Arabidopsis thaliana: one gene and its partners. The protein of the gene in region 3 interacts with the protein of the main gene of each other region in a pairwise test. Each region holds a gene or a part of one and is shown on either strand. Other genes may lie near its edges.

Region 1 (6,061 bases), on a different chromosome or scaffold from region 3:
ATGGAGCGAATTTTCTAGCTTGGAGACACGTAAGGCGCGTGCTATGCACTTCTTGTCAGAAACTCACGCGCCGGTGCCTCGTCGGAGATCATGACTTCCACGTTGTTTTACCGTCGGTGACGACGGTCGGAGAAACCACCGTGGAGAATAGAAGTGAACAAGATAATCATGAGGTTCCGTTTGTTTTTCTCTGATTATTAGATTTTTTTGGTGTAAGCTATAAATATTCTAGGGTTTTTATGCAATTTTCTTTTAAGAAAAATCTGAAAATTTTAATTTTATGAAGCTTAGAATTTTAAGAAATGTGTAATGAAAAAAAAAAAAGAATTTTAAGAAATGGGTAGTGACTAAAAATAGCAAAAAATATCTGCAATAGAAAGGGAAGAAACAAGGATCGTTTGTTGTTATTGAGTTATTCTTCGAATCTTTTGCTTTTTTCTACTAAGCAATGTTTGTAACCAACAAACAAAAAGTTCCATAAAACTGCTGTAAAAAAAAATTAACTCACCAAACTCTCTGTTTGGTATTTTGTTAGATATTTATTTTAGTGTAGTAAATCTTTCTCACTACTTCTTTGGACTTGTCATTTTCCTTAATTTAAAGGTACATAAAAGCAACTCCAGCCTTGTATTCTTAGCAATAAAAGTGATTAAATTTAATGAAACAACAAACCTTAGCTAAGATAAACATCTTAATTAAGATGTTTTCTTAAAACTAAGAAGAGTATATGTGTTGTATTTTGAGTGGATAGACATTTTTGAATTGTTGTTTTTTAAGAATCCAATAGTTCTTAACCATTGAAATAGAAATTAGTTAAACTTCCTCCTAACTTTTCTTAACTTAGTAAAAACAACATTTTAATTTAAAATAAGGTTAAGATTCAAAACTAAGAACCAATTGGTTCTAAACCAGTGGGGTAATAACTAAACTTTTTGCAAGTGAAACATCTTCATAATGCAATGCTTAATAAGTAGAGAATTGTTCTCTTGAAACACGTTAAACGCGAGCTCTGTAATGGAGCAGATTGTAATCACTGCTACTTTATTATTAATAAAAAAAAAAACAGCTAGGAAATTTATTTATAAAGAGATAAATTAGGATTTGTCCTATAAAAGGAAAAACCCAACTTAAAAATAATCAAAAACAAAAGAGATTCTGTAAATAAAAGAAGTTACTAAATAATTTTCACCATTTTGGCTTTCCACCAACTTTATTTAGTTCTCCAACGTTCCCATGCCTCAACATGTTGATTTCTTCGATTCACAAAAACTATACACAATAAGACAAACAATACATTACTTTCCCGACAAGAAACTGTTTTTACCAACCTTTATCATCATCATGAAGCATGGTTTAAGTCTGTTTGGGAAAGAAGACTGTACATTATTTTTGTAAATTTCAATTGTTCGTCGTCGGTGATGATGGATCATAATCATAACTGTCACCAGCTTTCACAAATCTTCCTTTCACTCTTTTCCTCGTGTCAGCTCTTGCTTTGCGAGATGCATATCGAATCTGTTTCCCAAAACTACAATTAAAAAAAAAGAAAAACACCATTAAACCTGATCCAAGTTGGTATAAACTCTGTTTTGTAATGATTAGTAATAAACTTACGAGCGCTTTAATTTCTTCTCCTTGTATCTCAACTTAGCCTCGTTTCTTGCTTGTGGACAACTAACTTCAAAATTCGTTTCCCATGGCGCTTCACTCATTATAAACCCTGGAGACATCCCACAATCCTGGTAATCAGCTGCATTGTTTTCACCAGTGATGTTAAGAGATGGATGGATTTGTCCGAACAAGACAGGTGATAGAGGAAGCTGAAGTCCAGTGTTGATGTTCATTTGCTGACCTGGTGGCGATGCCTGGAAACAGAATAACACAATTTATATTAGAAACTTTCTTGAGGTACTAGAAACTACAACAACGACAACAAAAAAGCGAAAGAGACCTCTAGAGCCTTGTCTACAGTAAAGTTGGAGCCGGTAAAGCTGGATGTGTTAGTCTTGTCAATCAATAGGCAATTTGGTACCGTATGGTCCGGTTCTATGTGTACTTCTGATGAACATCCGATAATATCATCTCCTACGTCAAAGTTTAATGGTGCATCATCCAAGTTAAGCCCTTCACATAGATCTTCTTCTCCTTCTTCAAGTTTAAGAACCATATCAGGATATCCCTGGAACATACACACAAATAAGAACTGTATTTTTCATCAAGAACTTATAAGGAACACTTTTCACTCCTTTAATTATTACCTTAGATTCCGTGGAAAAGAAAGACAAATTATCACTGAAATTCTGAGTGTAACTGATGTTGTGTGGTACCATGGAATAAGCGGTATCGAACATGGTATTGTTGAGATCATTCAAGGGAAAAGAACCAACGAACGGACTAAGCAAGCCGGAGACAGGAGGTTCAAGAATTGAAGACCACATTCTGTTAAAATCTGTAGGAGAAGGACAACCAGAGAAAGGATTCAAGCTCTGAACTCTGTGTCCTAACTCCGAACAGTTGCTTTCGTGCCAATGACATCCTTGGCAGTATGAAACCTTCTCGTCGAGACAGCGGATTGCGGCTGGCTGTGAGAAGCATTTCTCGCAGATCAAAGAGCGTATGTGCCTGTGAGACAGAGGATTCGCAGAGTGTACATGGACGTCGCAGTTTAGGCATAGTTTAGCCAAATCGGATTTGCAGTAAATCAATGCTTGCGAGGTTGCACAATGGTCACACTTTGGCTCCATACTTGGAGACATGATGATTGGGTAAACTTAAAGAAAAGTGTATAGAGAAGAATCTGACGTTGATATTGTTTCACGATTAGTAAAACACACGTAAGATCCTGCGCAACATAGATGCATGACCATTTCAGATACAAATCATGGAAGGAAAATGATGATTTTGGAATTAAAGATGGTAATATATGGGTGCATCATGCATGATAGGGTTTTGTGTTTCAATTACATTAATTTGTGAGGAAAAATATCGTAAATTGTTACGTTTCAAATAGAAACACAAATGTTTTTGAGAGCTAATACGGAGGAAGAAGCACTCACTTATGACGACCGAGATCGATTAGGCCGATTCACAACCTTTTTCGTAAAATGACGAGAAATTCAAAACCCAATAATGGGAGATTACAGAAAAAAAAACAGATTACAATCTAAGAACAGAATATTTTTTGAATCGAATGAAATGTGAAGAAGAACAAAAAAAGAGTTTTTTTACACTTTTACAGTGGTGTGCGAATCACGTAGAAGAAAGAGAGGTAGGGTTGCTTCTTTTATACCTTGTGAAAACGTGTGTCCACGCGGTTAAAATCCACGTGGCGTAATTATGAGCCTTGACGTGATTTATTATGAAGACATGCATAGGTAATTGTGATTATATCGCTTGTCAAGATAGTACTATCTGATTTTTTTCTTGCTCGATAGATTTTGTGCTCTGTGGCAAACCTTAAAACTCGTTGTTTCGGGTCGATACTAGCTATTACTAGTGTTACTTACTTGTGGTTCCCAATAAATTTATTGATATCGTTTATACGTGTAATACATGTCGTAATTTACTTGAATATTGAGCCACGTACGTTTCTTTTTCGAAAATATGTTCTCAACTAGTTTGAAAGAGTTATCAGTTTTTCTGAATTGTGTGATGTCTTTTGGTATCTCTAACATTTGATATATAGATGTGAGATCATTGAGTCATTTCATTTGAAATAGACTAGGCCACATCAACTTCTATATTATCATCAGTTTAATGTACATGCATGTATAATGGCTATGCAGTTGACTCTTGAATAGAAATAAGTTGTTAGCATTTCTAACTTTTTGATCAGGCTACCCTCAAATTTTGGGATTCCTAACCTAAAAAATGTTGTCAGCTATTTCGTAAAAAATTTGTTTCTAAAAGAAAATTGTAAAATTTGAACTAGTAATTATCTTTTGATATAATCCTCAAAGAACTAACTTTTCTTTTTAAGAAGTTGCACACCAACCTAACTATTTAAAAGGATACAATTTAAGAAAAAAATGCCTTATGCAAAGAAAATGATATATAGATTTGATAGATAAAAGTAAGAAACATGATAACTATTAACGTAAACAAAGATAAATGAACTTCAAAACAGAGATAAGAAAAAATGGCCACATAACATTATATGACCTATGCATAAACTCTCCTTATCAAAACATTAAACATGTATGCAGTGACCGGCAACGCGTATGCCTTTTTTCAAATAATGTATCTAACATTAATTTACATCTATATATAGTATTTACATCAAGAATATATTCCAGCGTATGTAGTAAAATTTGTGTACTGTGAGACTTTTCAAAGGAAATTGTACCGGACGAGAAAATTATGGACCAAGACCCGGAAACTTAATTTTGGGTAATAATGCTAGTAATATGCAGAAAATTAAGTGGAAAATAAAGTTATTTGTTTGATAAATGATAACTAATTTCATTGCTCAAGGTATACAAAAATCATCGGAATCCTATCTTCTCGCGAAGTGACACGTGTCAAAACCATCTCACACTCGTCCAAAGTCAGACGAAACATGATAACATCCCCACGTAACATCTTAAGCTCATCGTATCTCAACCACCCAATCTACAAGCCATATATACCCAAAACGAACTATACAACATGGCCCATTAACGAAAACTGAAGAGAACCCATGTTAACCGCAGCCGGAGACGATGAACTGGACCCGGTCGTGGGACCAGAATCGGCAACGGAAGCAGCCACTCCAAGAGTGCTGACTATAATCTCCCATGTGATGGAGAAGCTCGTGGCACGAAACGAGTGGTTAGCTAAGCAAACTAAGGGATTTGGGAAGAGCTTGGAGGCGTTTCACGGCGTGAGAGCGCCGAGCATAAGTATAGCTAAATACCTTGAGAGGATATATAAGTACACAAAATGTAGCCCGGCATGTTTCGTTGTTGGGTATGTGTACATAGACCGGTTGGCTCATAAGCATCCTGGTTCTTTGGTTGTCTCCTTGAATGTTCATAGACTCCTCGTCACTTGTGTCATGATTGCTGCCAAGATACTAGATGACGTGTAAGTAAGCCTTTCTTGAATTTCTATAATATCTTGAAATTAGACTAATCATGAAACTATAGATCATAGTTGTATCTTAATTGATTAACAAAATGAAAGATACATTTTATATCTAACCAATATAAAATGAGGACAAACTTTGTACCTATATGTATGTTAAGTGCCCCTTTTAAGTTATTGATTTCAAGGTTTCAACATGTATTGGATGAGATAAGAGAGGTTTTCGTTTTTTCTAACAAATTTCATATTCACAGGCACTACAACAACGAGTTCTATGCTCGGGTTGGAGGCGTAAGCAATGCAGACTTGAACAAAATGGAGTTGGAGCTTCTCTTTCTTCTTGACTTTAGAGTTACTGTGAGTTTTAGAGTTTTCGAGAGCTATTGCTTTCACCTCGAAAAAGAGATGCAACTAAACGACGCCGTTTCTTCCCTCAAAGATATTCAACCAATGCAAGAAAGTCTCTCTCCAGCATCTACTTTATCATCTTTATATGTTTGATATATGTATATGAATTTTTTTAATATAACTTTTAACTGAACGCGTTTGGTTGACAGAAAAAGTTTACGCACTAACTATCGAAATTTTATTTATATTTTGAAGAAATTATCTCAAATTTTTGCTAGAGAAAAATAATTGAAATCTCAAACTATGTATACTAGAGATTTTACAATGTAAATCTGTTAAGTTAAATAGTTTGTAGATTTCAACTAAATGATATAAGCTATTTTTTCCTACATTTTGCACATGTTGTTTTGTTCTTCAGGTTCATCTCTCTATTTTCTTCTTTTCACTGTAAAATGATACTCCATGATGACTTAAGTATCCAACAACAACAAACCAAAATCCAATTCTAGTTTCCTAGTTTTCTTACTCCTCCAATCGTCTTCGGTTTATCGTGTAAAATTTCCTTTACATAAGAGCAAAACGCACCGTTTCGTACAGATCAGATCCATCGCACCCTATGATAAAAAACAATGGTCTCACACGCTCATCC
Region 2 (5,591 bases), on a different chromosome or scaffold from region 3:
GAACTAACGGGTTGAGATCCAATCACTGGAGCCTCCACCGGAGAAGTTCCAACGGTTATGCCTTGCTCGGCAGGGAGCGGAGAAGACAAGACAGACTTTGGTGGCAGCTGAGCTATCACCCCGACTTGAGAAGAACTGACCAAGTCTGTCTCATTGACAGTCGATTGGTCTAGGGAGGCTGAAGACAAAGCACTATTTGCCTCTGAATTGACGGACGTCGCAACACCGGAGGCGGAGCCATCGACGGTGGGGACAGGCGCACTTGCAGCAGACTGCGGATCTGGAGTCAACACTAAATCCGAGACTGGGGTCAGTGACAGATCTGAAACCAAAGAAGGATGAGGTCTAGAGGCAGACTCCTCCCTAGACCGAGCGGCAACAACACGGCTTTTGCTCACGAGAGGAGCAACAGCGCGAGCGTAGACTGCAGCAAATTTAGACGAACCAGGGACAGCCCCTCTAATGGGCTTCTTTTTCTTCTTCGGCATGAGAGCAGGAAGAAATTTCCGACCACCAGCGTGAGGCCGGCGTCGGGGGGAGAAGAGGGGGCGAGAAAACTAGGTCAGGGAGAAAAAGGAGAGAGAAAAAGAAGAAATTTCGGCTTCCAACTTATTATCGGTTGGTACCAAGAAATTTCGTTCTTATGTTGGTATCAAACAAAACTTGTTTGAAATTATCCATCTTACCAATAATATCAAACACCACCAATATTAACATTTCTTATGTACCACAATTAATAATGGGTCGTTGATAACGATTTGATGATATTAACGCTTATAGATATTTGGTCCAATATACGCTTGTGTGGTAGTTAGTAGCCATTTTCATCTTTTAGCTAGAAATTAAGAAGAAATTGGACTATACAGAAAAAAATGCGACATCAATTGGCAATGACAATGACAATTCACGGAAAACTTGTTCATTCTGCATATTATAGTTTGCTGTCTAGCCATTTTTGTGTTTGAAATCCCGATTCTGATTCTTTTAGGATAATATAGTGTTACCAGATATCAAAAAGTTTTTCAAATAGTTTAAAACTATTTCTTATTTTTTAGAGTTCGTAAAGATGATCAATCGATTTTTTTTAAGAGAATCAGTTTTTTGTTCTTATGTTCGTTCCATGGTAAACATGTTTAAGATAGAGTAATTTAACAATCAAAATGCCTTTGCAGTTTGCACATTCTTATTACCAGATATATACATCAGTGCTATCAATACAAGTAAAAGTCACATTATTATTGGTTACTTCTATGTACATACAAGTCCTCAAAGCACAATTAAGTGCCAAAATAACTTCTGTTGTTTCAGAAGAAAAAAGATTCACCGAAATTTGTAAAGTGAGATATAACATGAATAGATATTAACTATTCAGTAATTAACACCTAATGGTGAAGCAGCAGCAGCGAGCGAGGCTCTCTTCACGAATCTTCCTTTCATTCGTGGTCTTTTCTCTGCATTCAATTTACGTACCTCGTACCGTATCTTCTTAGAAAACAACCTTGTCCTCCTCTTCTCTCTGTATCTCGAAACTCTAGCTTCTCTACCTCCATCTCCAAACCCACTTGATGGTAAACATCCACCAACGTATTGCTTCTGATGAGTACTTTCTCCTCCATTCTCCACCTAAAACATATTATTTCAACTTTTAGAAATTTGAGAACAGTAAACTCACTTTTATTTGAATTCTATAAGAATGAGGATTTTAAATAACGTACCATGGAAAAGGCTGGCCAACCGCTGATGTCCATGTCTCGTTCCGGTGGCTCTCCTGAACTCCACGGTGGACCTTGACCTCCCCAAGTGGATATCACCGAGTCATAGTTTAATCTTAGCATCAGAACATTCTTATGTTCTTCCTCTTTCACCTTAACAACACATTCACCACTACTTTCAACGTTCTTCATTACCTCTTCTTCGGACGTCTTGTGTGACGACTCGTAATCAAAGCTTAGCTCAAACGGTACTGTTCCATCCACGTCTTTTCGATCATCATCAAATATATCCATGCTCATGGCTTTTATCTCTTCTACTTCTTCTTCAATCTCATCTTTTTCGATTTTGAACATCTCTGAATTAGATAACCCTAGCTCCTCCATGGCATACGACTCCGTGTCTAACCCGCGACCGAGCAGAGTCTCCACGTCAGCAGCAAACTCCTCAAGCTCCATGTCGGTCGGGAAAAATCCATTAAGACAACTTTCAGCGTTGTCTTCCTCCTCCTCGATCATCAAACCACTTCTGATCATAGGAAACTCGATCTTGGGCTCAACGACATCGTTCAAGAACTGCTCAGACACCAACGGATCTAGAACCGGCACTTGACAGATCAGCTGCTCTTCAAGCTCATAGTTGTCTGTCTGATCCTCAATACTAATATCAGGAACCAAGTCATGAAATATCGACGAATTGTTTTTCTTACCAGAGCCACGTGGCGTTCGAGCTTTACGAGTAAACCCGTGATGCCACGTGGCGACCTCATGTGGAGGAGAAGCTGATGAGTGGTTGCTATGCTTTACGACCGCCGGGCTAGCCGTCTTCAAACGGACTCTCTCGTGGCGGCGAGCAAGAGGGTTTGCTGAATGGACCAAACTGTCGCAAGACTGGCAAAGAAAAGCATCGTCGGCCGCGCAGTACCACCGTGCACGTCTCTTCACGCAGCTGTCGCAAGCCCTCGCCGTCTTCGCTCCAACAGCATTCGCCAAACTTTTCATCATTGTATACAAAGTCTACACAACCAACATCAACGACAAGAGCACGAGAGCTTTGGTTTTGAGATCAATCTCAATTATTGAATCTTTTGCTCTCTGCAAAAAGTTAGATTTAGTGTAGTCCTAGAGAGTTTGAGATTAAGAGGATGACCCGCATGAAGCGCATTCCCTTTTGTGTCAGTGGATTTTTGAAGTTATAAGAAAAATTATGTACTTTTTGGGTGTTTATGTCTTCAGTTAGGGACCCATGACGAGGCCTTATCTGATTTGTGATTGGTTGAGTTCTGAAGATGATCTTCGTAATAGTGTTTTAATTGGTCAGCTTCTTTATCCATTGGATTTCTTGTGTGGTCTACCTTGTCGTTTTCCTTGCCCAATCACTCTTTTTTTTTTTTCAATATTCAAGACTTTTTGTGATTTTTGTTATTTCTTTTTTCCTTTTTTTAGTAGCAAAGGTTTCAGCTTTGACATTTTTTCCTTTTCTTCCACCATTTTTTTAGAGACTATATAATAACTACTAACTTTGACTATGGATAAAATAATTTTTTTAGCTAAATAGTTTTTCTCCAATTTTGGTAATACTTATCAACAAACATTGATTCACTTTTTAGAAATCTGAGAAATATCTTAGCAAAAAGCATTGATTCAATTTTTTGAAGTTTGAAGTTGAAGGAAGATTTGATTGGATAGAAGTTTTTAAGCTACAATGGTTGATTATTTGATTAAACAAATAAATTTAAGAAAATGAATGTGGAGATTTATCATAAATGATAAATTGGTACAATATTTATTATTAATTATTCTTATTTTGGTGCACCATGTGTTGCCAGGTTCATTTATCTATTGGTTAGTCTTGTCCAATAGAAAATATTATTATCAACACAGAGTTAATTATAGCTATCAATATAAAATCATAATAAAGACTACTCATGTGATATGAACTATTACCTAGACAAAAGTGATATCCTCATTTGGAGAAAGGCGATATTGTACCCAAGAGAAATATGGTAAGACAAAAGGTAAGTTTTATTTAGTAAATAACCTTAAAAATGCGTAATTTGTAATTTTATTTTCATCAAAGATAATAGTTTCACGGGTGATATTAACATGTATTCATTTTTAGTAACATGTTTTATTCATAATGTCGCATTATTACAATTCAATCACATATGTTATCATCATGTCAACTATACCCACTAATTACTGGTTAGCATAAGGAAAAAAGCAATTAGTAAGCATAACTTTATTGGTAACATGATTAATAAGATATTTCATGAAAACAAAATTACATTTGTTTAGGGTTATAACCTAAGTATATGATTAGAATTATAAATTTGCATTCACATTCCATCCAATCTACTTATGTTATTGATATATAGATGTACATTTGATGCACACAATTAAATGTAGGAAGCCTCATTATCATAAGAAGAACGAGCAGCCACTATTACTAGGATTTTAAAATCGAAAACATAATACTATATTTAAATGACAATATTTCCTATTTCAATAGCAAAGTGAAATAAAAAAAAAAACTCAAATGGAGTTAATACCACTAAACTACGATTAATTAATGACTATGGATCCACTAATATTGAAGGCTAATCAGTTTGGTTACAAAGTATAACATTAATTCTCACATATTATTTTACATGAACAAGTAATTTTTTGGATTGTATTTCTGTAGAAAAAAAAAGAAAAAAGTGAAGAACATGTTGTTTATTAGAGATGAGGGAGGACTGATCGAGTTACGTAAGAGGCCTTTATCACTGGGCTAAATAATGTGTCGGCTCAAAACTCAAATATATATGGGCCGATATAATTAATAAAATTCTGCAAACGAACTTTACTTTATAAATTTTAATACAAGCCCCATAATTCGAGCCCACGAATCCCTACAAATTCTTACGGAAACCGTAAAATTGAAACTGAGACATATGTAGGTTCAAACACCCTCGTTAATAAAAAAATAAAAAAATGGTATGTACTATACCTTCGGTATTAAGTTTTGACCATTCACTAAACCAGACTCATTGGACATAAAAGAACGAAAAAAATAAAAGGAGAAAAACGAGATGTGATAGAAGATGGGCCTAGCCAGGTAATTAGCAGAAACTAAAATAAAAGTATTGGGTAGAGAGTAAAAGCATGAAACCACATGCATAGACTACGTACACTCTACGTAACAACAAATTGCTGCTTTCAGTTATTACAAAATTAAAAGAACCGCCCACGCCTATTGCAGTTGCCTATCCCAATCCAAATTATAGTTGTGAACTTGTGAGACATGACACCGTATTTTTCTCTTACGCCTTCCATAAGTTTCACTCAATCTTTTTCGGTGAATTGGAGATGGGCTGATGATAGCTCATTTGGTTATCAAAAACTCTTTAAAAGAAAGTTAAGTCCTTATTTCTAGATCCCAATGCTCGTTTGGAGAGAGATGGTTTAGTACTTTGAAGGTTGATTATTGCATCCAATCTATCCTATGAAACTAATTCTTTATATCTAAATAAGAATCCTATAACTCATCTTAAAATGGTGCGGTTTGGACACAACCCACTAACTTTTTACGTTTCAGTATTATATATGAAGATGTCACCCAATATTGATACAAATTAAACCTTAACATGAGTTATTGAATTTACACCTTAACATGTATAATAGAAAATCGGTCACTTGGTCAGGGACCATAAAAAAATTATAAACCAATAATATGGAACTTTCTAATTAGAAGAAAAATGAAGATGGTTATGTGTCATGACTTCACTTTCAATTTTAAGACGGAAATTTGAATGTGATGGATATTTTGAGGAGTGAACGAACTCATATAACCTGTGGCATTCGTGTACCTAATCAAAAATTTGTAAGAAAAAATAGAAA
Region 3 (5,275 bases):
ATCCTTATGAAGAAACTGTTTAAGAGCTTTGCTGAAATCTAAAAGAGATTTAAAGTAAAGAAGATGAGATCTCGCTAAGTGATAACGAGCATCTCTAGCTGCTTTGATCAATTCCTTCCTCTCCTTACATAGATTCAACAATGGAGTATTACTATCTCCCTTGGAAGCAACGATACCCATTAAACCCTCTTGAATGATCTCTCGAAATCGGTTAAACCCTAATTTGATTTCCTCGCTTTAACAATTGATATTTCGTGGATTGATTGAGTTGTTGTACCTTTTGACGACATCACTAAAAAGTAAAAACCTTGTTTGGCAGAAGTACGACTTGATGATGAACCCTAATTAGAAACAAATTCGATTTATTTTGTAGAGCGACGCTGAAGTTAAACCGTGTTTGATTTCCTTTTTTTTGGTTAAGGTTAGTATATAATTTTAAGAAAAGGAATTAGATGAAAAGGAAATTTGTAGCTAAATGGAAAAAATCTCACAGTAAATAAGAAGATTAAAAACAATAAGTTACATGTAATTAATGTATGGGGGCACGTTATATAATTGATATTAAGATCAGCTAATGATGGAGTGTGTAAATTAAATTTCATTGACACTACAAATATATTTTCGCAATTCCTTACCAAAAAACAAATATATATGAAGTTATTTTCTTACAGTACAAAGTTGATGTTTTGATACTTGTATCTTGTAGTATCGAGATCTTGAATTTTCATTATGGAATTTGGTTGACCAGTTTGACAAATAAAATGATGCACCTCTCATAGAGTCATCGGTATCCCTGATAAAAAGAATCAAACGTGGAATGGTCCGAATGAATAAAATCTTAGTGTACATATATATAAATCATATAATTTGATAGAATTTATGTTGAAAATGTAAATAATATGTATTTTTATCAACAAAAAAATTTAAAATTATTATAATTGGGTTGATCACCCATACTGAACAAATTTAACAATTTCTATTGTAAATTTGTAATCCACTTCTCTTTTTAATAAATCTTTAAAGAAACTTGCAAAAGAAAACATAAATGGAAAAGAACTAACAAAAAATAAGGAGTAATTCGTAAGATAGATGTGTATTGATTCGAGGCTTCTTCTAAGTTGTTCTAAAGTTGTCATCCACAAACATTTAAAAGTAAAAAAACAAAAAACCATAAAACTCAAAACACCTCCACTCATCAGCGCTTTTTTAATGCATGTGGCTCTCAAATGAAGACATCTCGTGTTCCTTTGATTCTTCACAATTCACACTTCACCCTTTACACCACTAATCTTCGCCACGTAAAAATTTCTCAAGCATGTTACGTAGGCCCAACTTTACCATTTTTTTTGTTCTTATATATATTTTACGTATTATTTGTTATCCTAAAATGACTTTCAATCCATCTTTGCTAGTCTTAATCTCGATTTCGTGATACAAATTAATTCCTTTGATCAAATGAATACAAATAATCAAATTAATTCATCTTTGATCATAGATGAATTAGTTTGTTCTATGGATCAAAACCACAGATCAAACTCTATCATACAAAAATCGTTGTGATTTTCTTTTAAAAACTCACAACTGTAAACATTTGAAATGACAAAAAATATTTGTCTAACTACAAGCTTCTTAGCTATCTATCTATCCTGTTTTTTAGATAAAAATTCGTAATACCTTTCATTTTTTTAATCCAGGTTTAATAATTTTTCAAATATATATTCTATATTCTTTTTAATTACCATTAGCAAATAACAAGTAATATATCGAATTGCCAATGATGTGAAGTAAAAATGTAAAATTAGTGGTTGGATTTATTTATTTATTTTTATTTAGAGAAAAAGACATTTAACTCGAATTATGTAAAATATGGAACGCTAAAAGTGGTTGATAAAATCATAAAATTAGGTTCTTCTCCTAGTAACCATGTTGATTCATGGACACCAAAATTTCCGAACCCAAAATGCGATATTAAAAATCCGATCATCATTATTATCCTACCGTAATACCAACGATATAAATGATATTTAATTCACTTTTCATTTTCGAAAACAAAACGCTTGGACCGGAACGAGAGAGGAATACTGAAAAAAGTAAAAAATGAAAGAAAAAAGAGTGGACCCATTAGACGTGTATTGAGGACCAGACAAATCCCAGGTGCGGATCACGTGGTTCTAAGTCTATTACAGAACCTGATTCGTCCACGTAGGATAACTCAGAATCTTCCCTCTCCTCTATACGAGGCTAATATCTCGCCACGTCATTAACTAAAAATCTAACCGCATAAAAATATCTGATGAAACATAAAACGAATAATATCTCGACACGTAAGACTTCGCCCATAGGAGAGCCTTGTCCCAGTACATGGTTTCAGGACCAAGTAAATAACAACATTTCCTTTAATTTTTATTATTATTATCATCTCTCCTAAATTTAAGAATTCGAGAATAATACTCAGCCGCGGAAACCTTAATCAATTTCAAACACAGATTTAGAACTACTAATACAAAATTATCCACAAATTATCCACCATAAAAATTAAAGTTTGAACGAATCCTTTAATCTTATTCTAATTTAAAATTAGGAAGCTTCTTTGCATTTCATTAAAAAATTACGTGAAAAATCGTTTCGTTAATATCAAAAAGACGACAATATCCTCGAAAAGAATTAAATCACATAAAAGTCGCCACGAAATTCTCATTTTACAATTCTCTATTACGCTGTCTCTTATTCGTGTCCGCAGAAGAAACGAGAGAAGAGAGAGAAGCAAAAGACCTTACCAAGAATATTTATAACACACAAACATCTAGAGACAGAGATAGACATAGAGAGAGAGCTTGTGGTTGTGGTTGTGCGAGATAATATCTAGAGATGGGGAAGAAGAAGTGCGAGTTATGTTGTGGTGTAGCGAGAATGTATTGTGAGTCAGATCAAGCGAGTTTATGTTGGGATTGTGACGGTAAAGTTCACGGAGCTAATTTTCTGGTGGCGAAACACATGCGTTGTCTTCTATGTAGCGCGTGTCAGTCACACACGCCTTGGAAAGCTTCTGGGCTGAATCTTGGCCCAACTGTTTCTATCTGTGAGTCTTGTTTAGCTCGTAAGAAGAATAACAACAGCTCCCTCGCCGGGAGGGATCAGAATCTTAACCAAGAAGAAGAGATCATTGGTTGTAACGACGGAGCTGAGTCTTATGATGAGGAAAGCGATGAGGATGAAGAAGAAGAAGAAGTGGAGAATCAGGTTGTTCCGGCTGCGGTGGAGCAAGAACTTCCGGTGGTGAGTTCGTCGTCTTCGGTTAGTAGTGGTGAAGGAGATCAGGTGGTGAAAAGGACGAGACTTGATTTGGATCTTAACCTCTCCGATGTATGAATATGAATCTTTTTCTTTATCTTCTTTTATTATTAGGAAATGATTAAGAAATCTGAAACAATTCTTTTTGAAATGCAGGAGGAGAACCAATCTAGACCATTGAAAAGATTATCGAGAGACGAAGGTTTGTCAAGATCAACTGTTGTGATGAATAGCTCAATCGTGAAATTACACGGAGGGAGGAGAAAAGCAGAGGGATGTGATACATCATCGTCGTCTTCGTTTTATTGAAATCGCCAAGGAAAGTAGAGATTGTAGCCGTTGATGATTCTTTTGTTTGGTTGATTAGATTAATCCTCATCGTTCATTTACTAACAACAATACTTTTAGTGAGTTGAGTTAGTTTAAAAACATTTCAATATAATGATTTTTTTTTGTGTTTTTTTTTCTGTGTTACCTAGAATATATATGTTCATATGTCTAGTATAAAATCATATAACATAAAAAATAAAATGAAGCAAAGTTGTTCAGAAAATGATTAAGAAAATGAAGCTGTTTTCTATTTATTTATTTTTTAACGAAAATGATTAAGAAAATTAATTAGTGAAACAAGAGATATTATTATAAATTTATAACGTGAGAAGGATTACCAGCCAAAACCAAAATTTATTATGATGTCAATTTTATTTGCCTTCCCAGAACTAGAAGTGTCTGTGTCATTGTGATGTTACAACTGAAGAGTACATAACGTATGAATGTCCGTTAGCTTTGTAAATTGTAACTACGACCACTAAAAAGAATCAAACAAAAAAGTTGTCAAGACTTAGAAAAAAGAAGATATTTAGTACCATGGGGTCCTCCTTTAAAGTTTTTTTAAAAAAAATTTATTTGTCAAACGCTTTGAACCCATCGTGTCTTTTGTATCTAAACCGTGTTCGAAGCTCCAAAAAAATAAAAAATGATGCTCTCATGATTTATATGTAACTAAATAAATTGGTTTTATTTCTAATTTTGAATCTATTTGTTTTGTGAGAAATGAGAAGATCCAAGTTTTTGGTTTCTTGATCGTATATGATAAATACAGTATACAGTAATTCAATTCATGGTAGTTAGAGAATTGGACGGCGAATGTCTACCAGATATTTTATTTATTTAAATTGAATGAAAGTAGTGAAAACATGTGGTTCTCATTGCATCTCTTTGCAAAGACCGATCATTTAAGCCGTCTTCAAAATACTAAAATATGAATATAATAATTAGAGATCATAATTTTAATTTAAGGTTTACACTTGGATAAATACTTGCGGATACGATGACATCACCTTTGAGTTAAACTTCCTTTCGAAGTCAGAAATACAAAAAGTCAACCCCAAGCATTAATCCACGAGTCTCTTTATTTCATTATTAGAGTTTAACATTCATGTTTAATGCATATAAACACTTCATTATCAAAGTGTTGGACTTTGTTCGTTAAATCCCAAATCATTTAGCAACCGATTGAGTTTGTTCGATCTGTTTTATATGTCTTTTTAGCCATATTTACATAAATGATGAAAAACAAAAGAATCGTTGGCCGGATATTGTTTCGCGATGACGATTTTCTTTCATCAGAATTGGAGTATCAGGTGGCCGAGGTTGGTGGTCGATGACCTATTGTTTTGGTGCAACACGTGATCTTCTTATCATGTTCTAAGCTTCCAACGTTGGGTGAAGATTATCCTTCAACATCTCTCTTATGTTGTCGATTCCAGTTGGCCCCACGCATTGGGATCTAATCTTTGTAGAAGCCCATTAATATTTGGACTCTATGTTGTACGTATCATATAGGCATATACCCAGTTAGGCTTTTCTTCGGCCTTAGTTTCAGGGCTGTATTTTCTTCATCTTAAGCTTTGACCCTTTTTTTTTTGTCAAACAAGCTTTGACCCTTTTAGTTTTAGTTTATATGCTTTAGTAAAGTCCAAAT

What was found.
Region 1: the proteins of BBX29 (region 3) and BBX10 interact in a two-hybrid assay, tested with the Arabidopsis thaliana proteins (one large-scale study listed by BioGRID).
Region 2: the proteins of BBX29 (region 3) and BBX15 interact in a two-hybrid assay, tested with the Arabidopsis thaliana proteins (one large-scale study listed by BioGRID).

The regions. Positions count from the first base shown.
Region 1 is NC_003074.8:7,703,431-7,709,491, reverse strand, and holds BBX10 (B-box type zinc finger protein with CCT domain-containing protein), read right to left. Parts: upstream 3,236-6,061; 5' UTR 3,057-3,235; intron 2,843-3,056; 5' UTR 2,757-2,842; coding exon 2,259-2,756; intron 2,180-2,258; coding exon 1,952-2,179; intron 1,866-1,951; coding exon 1,615-1,865; intron 1,529-1,614; coding exon 1,399-1,528; 3' UTR 1,383-1,398; exon of another isoform or gene 1,302-1,382; intron 1,270-1,301; 3' UTR 1,146-1,269; downstream 1-1,145. Other genes in the region: BBX31 (B-box type zinc finger family protein), read left to right, coding at 1-194; CYCP2;1 (cyclin p2;1), read left to right, coding at 4,679-5,064, 5,319-5,565.
Region 2 is NC_003070.9:8,932,571-8,938,161, forward strand, and holds BBX15 (B-box type zinc finger protein with CCT domain-containing protein), read right to left. Parts: upstream 2,975-5,591; 5' UTR 2,715-2,974; coding exon 1,716-2,714; intron 1,624-1,715; coding exon 1,369-1,623; 3' UTR 1,146-1,368; downstream 1-1,145.
Region 3 is NC_003076.8:22,112,909-22,118,183, reverse strand, and holds BBX29 (B-box type zinc finger family protein), read left to right. Parts: upstream 1-2,644; 5' UTR 2,645-2,868; coding exon 2,869-3,363; intron 3,364-3,447; coding exon 3,448-3,600; 3' UTR 3,601-3,880; downstream 3,881-5,275. Other genes in the region: AT5G54480 (hypothetical protein (DUF630 and DUF632)), read right to left, coding at 1-180.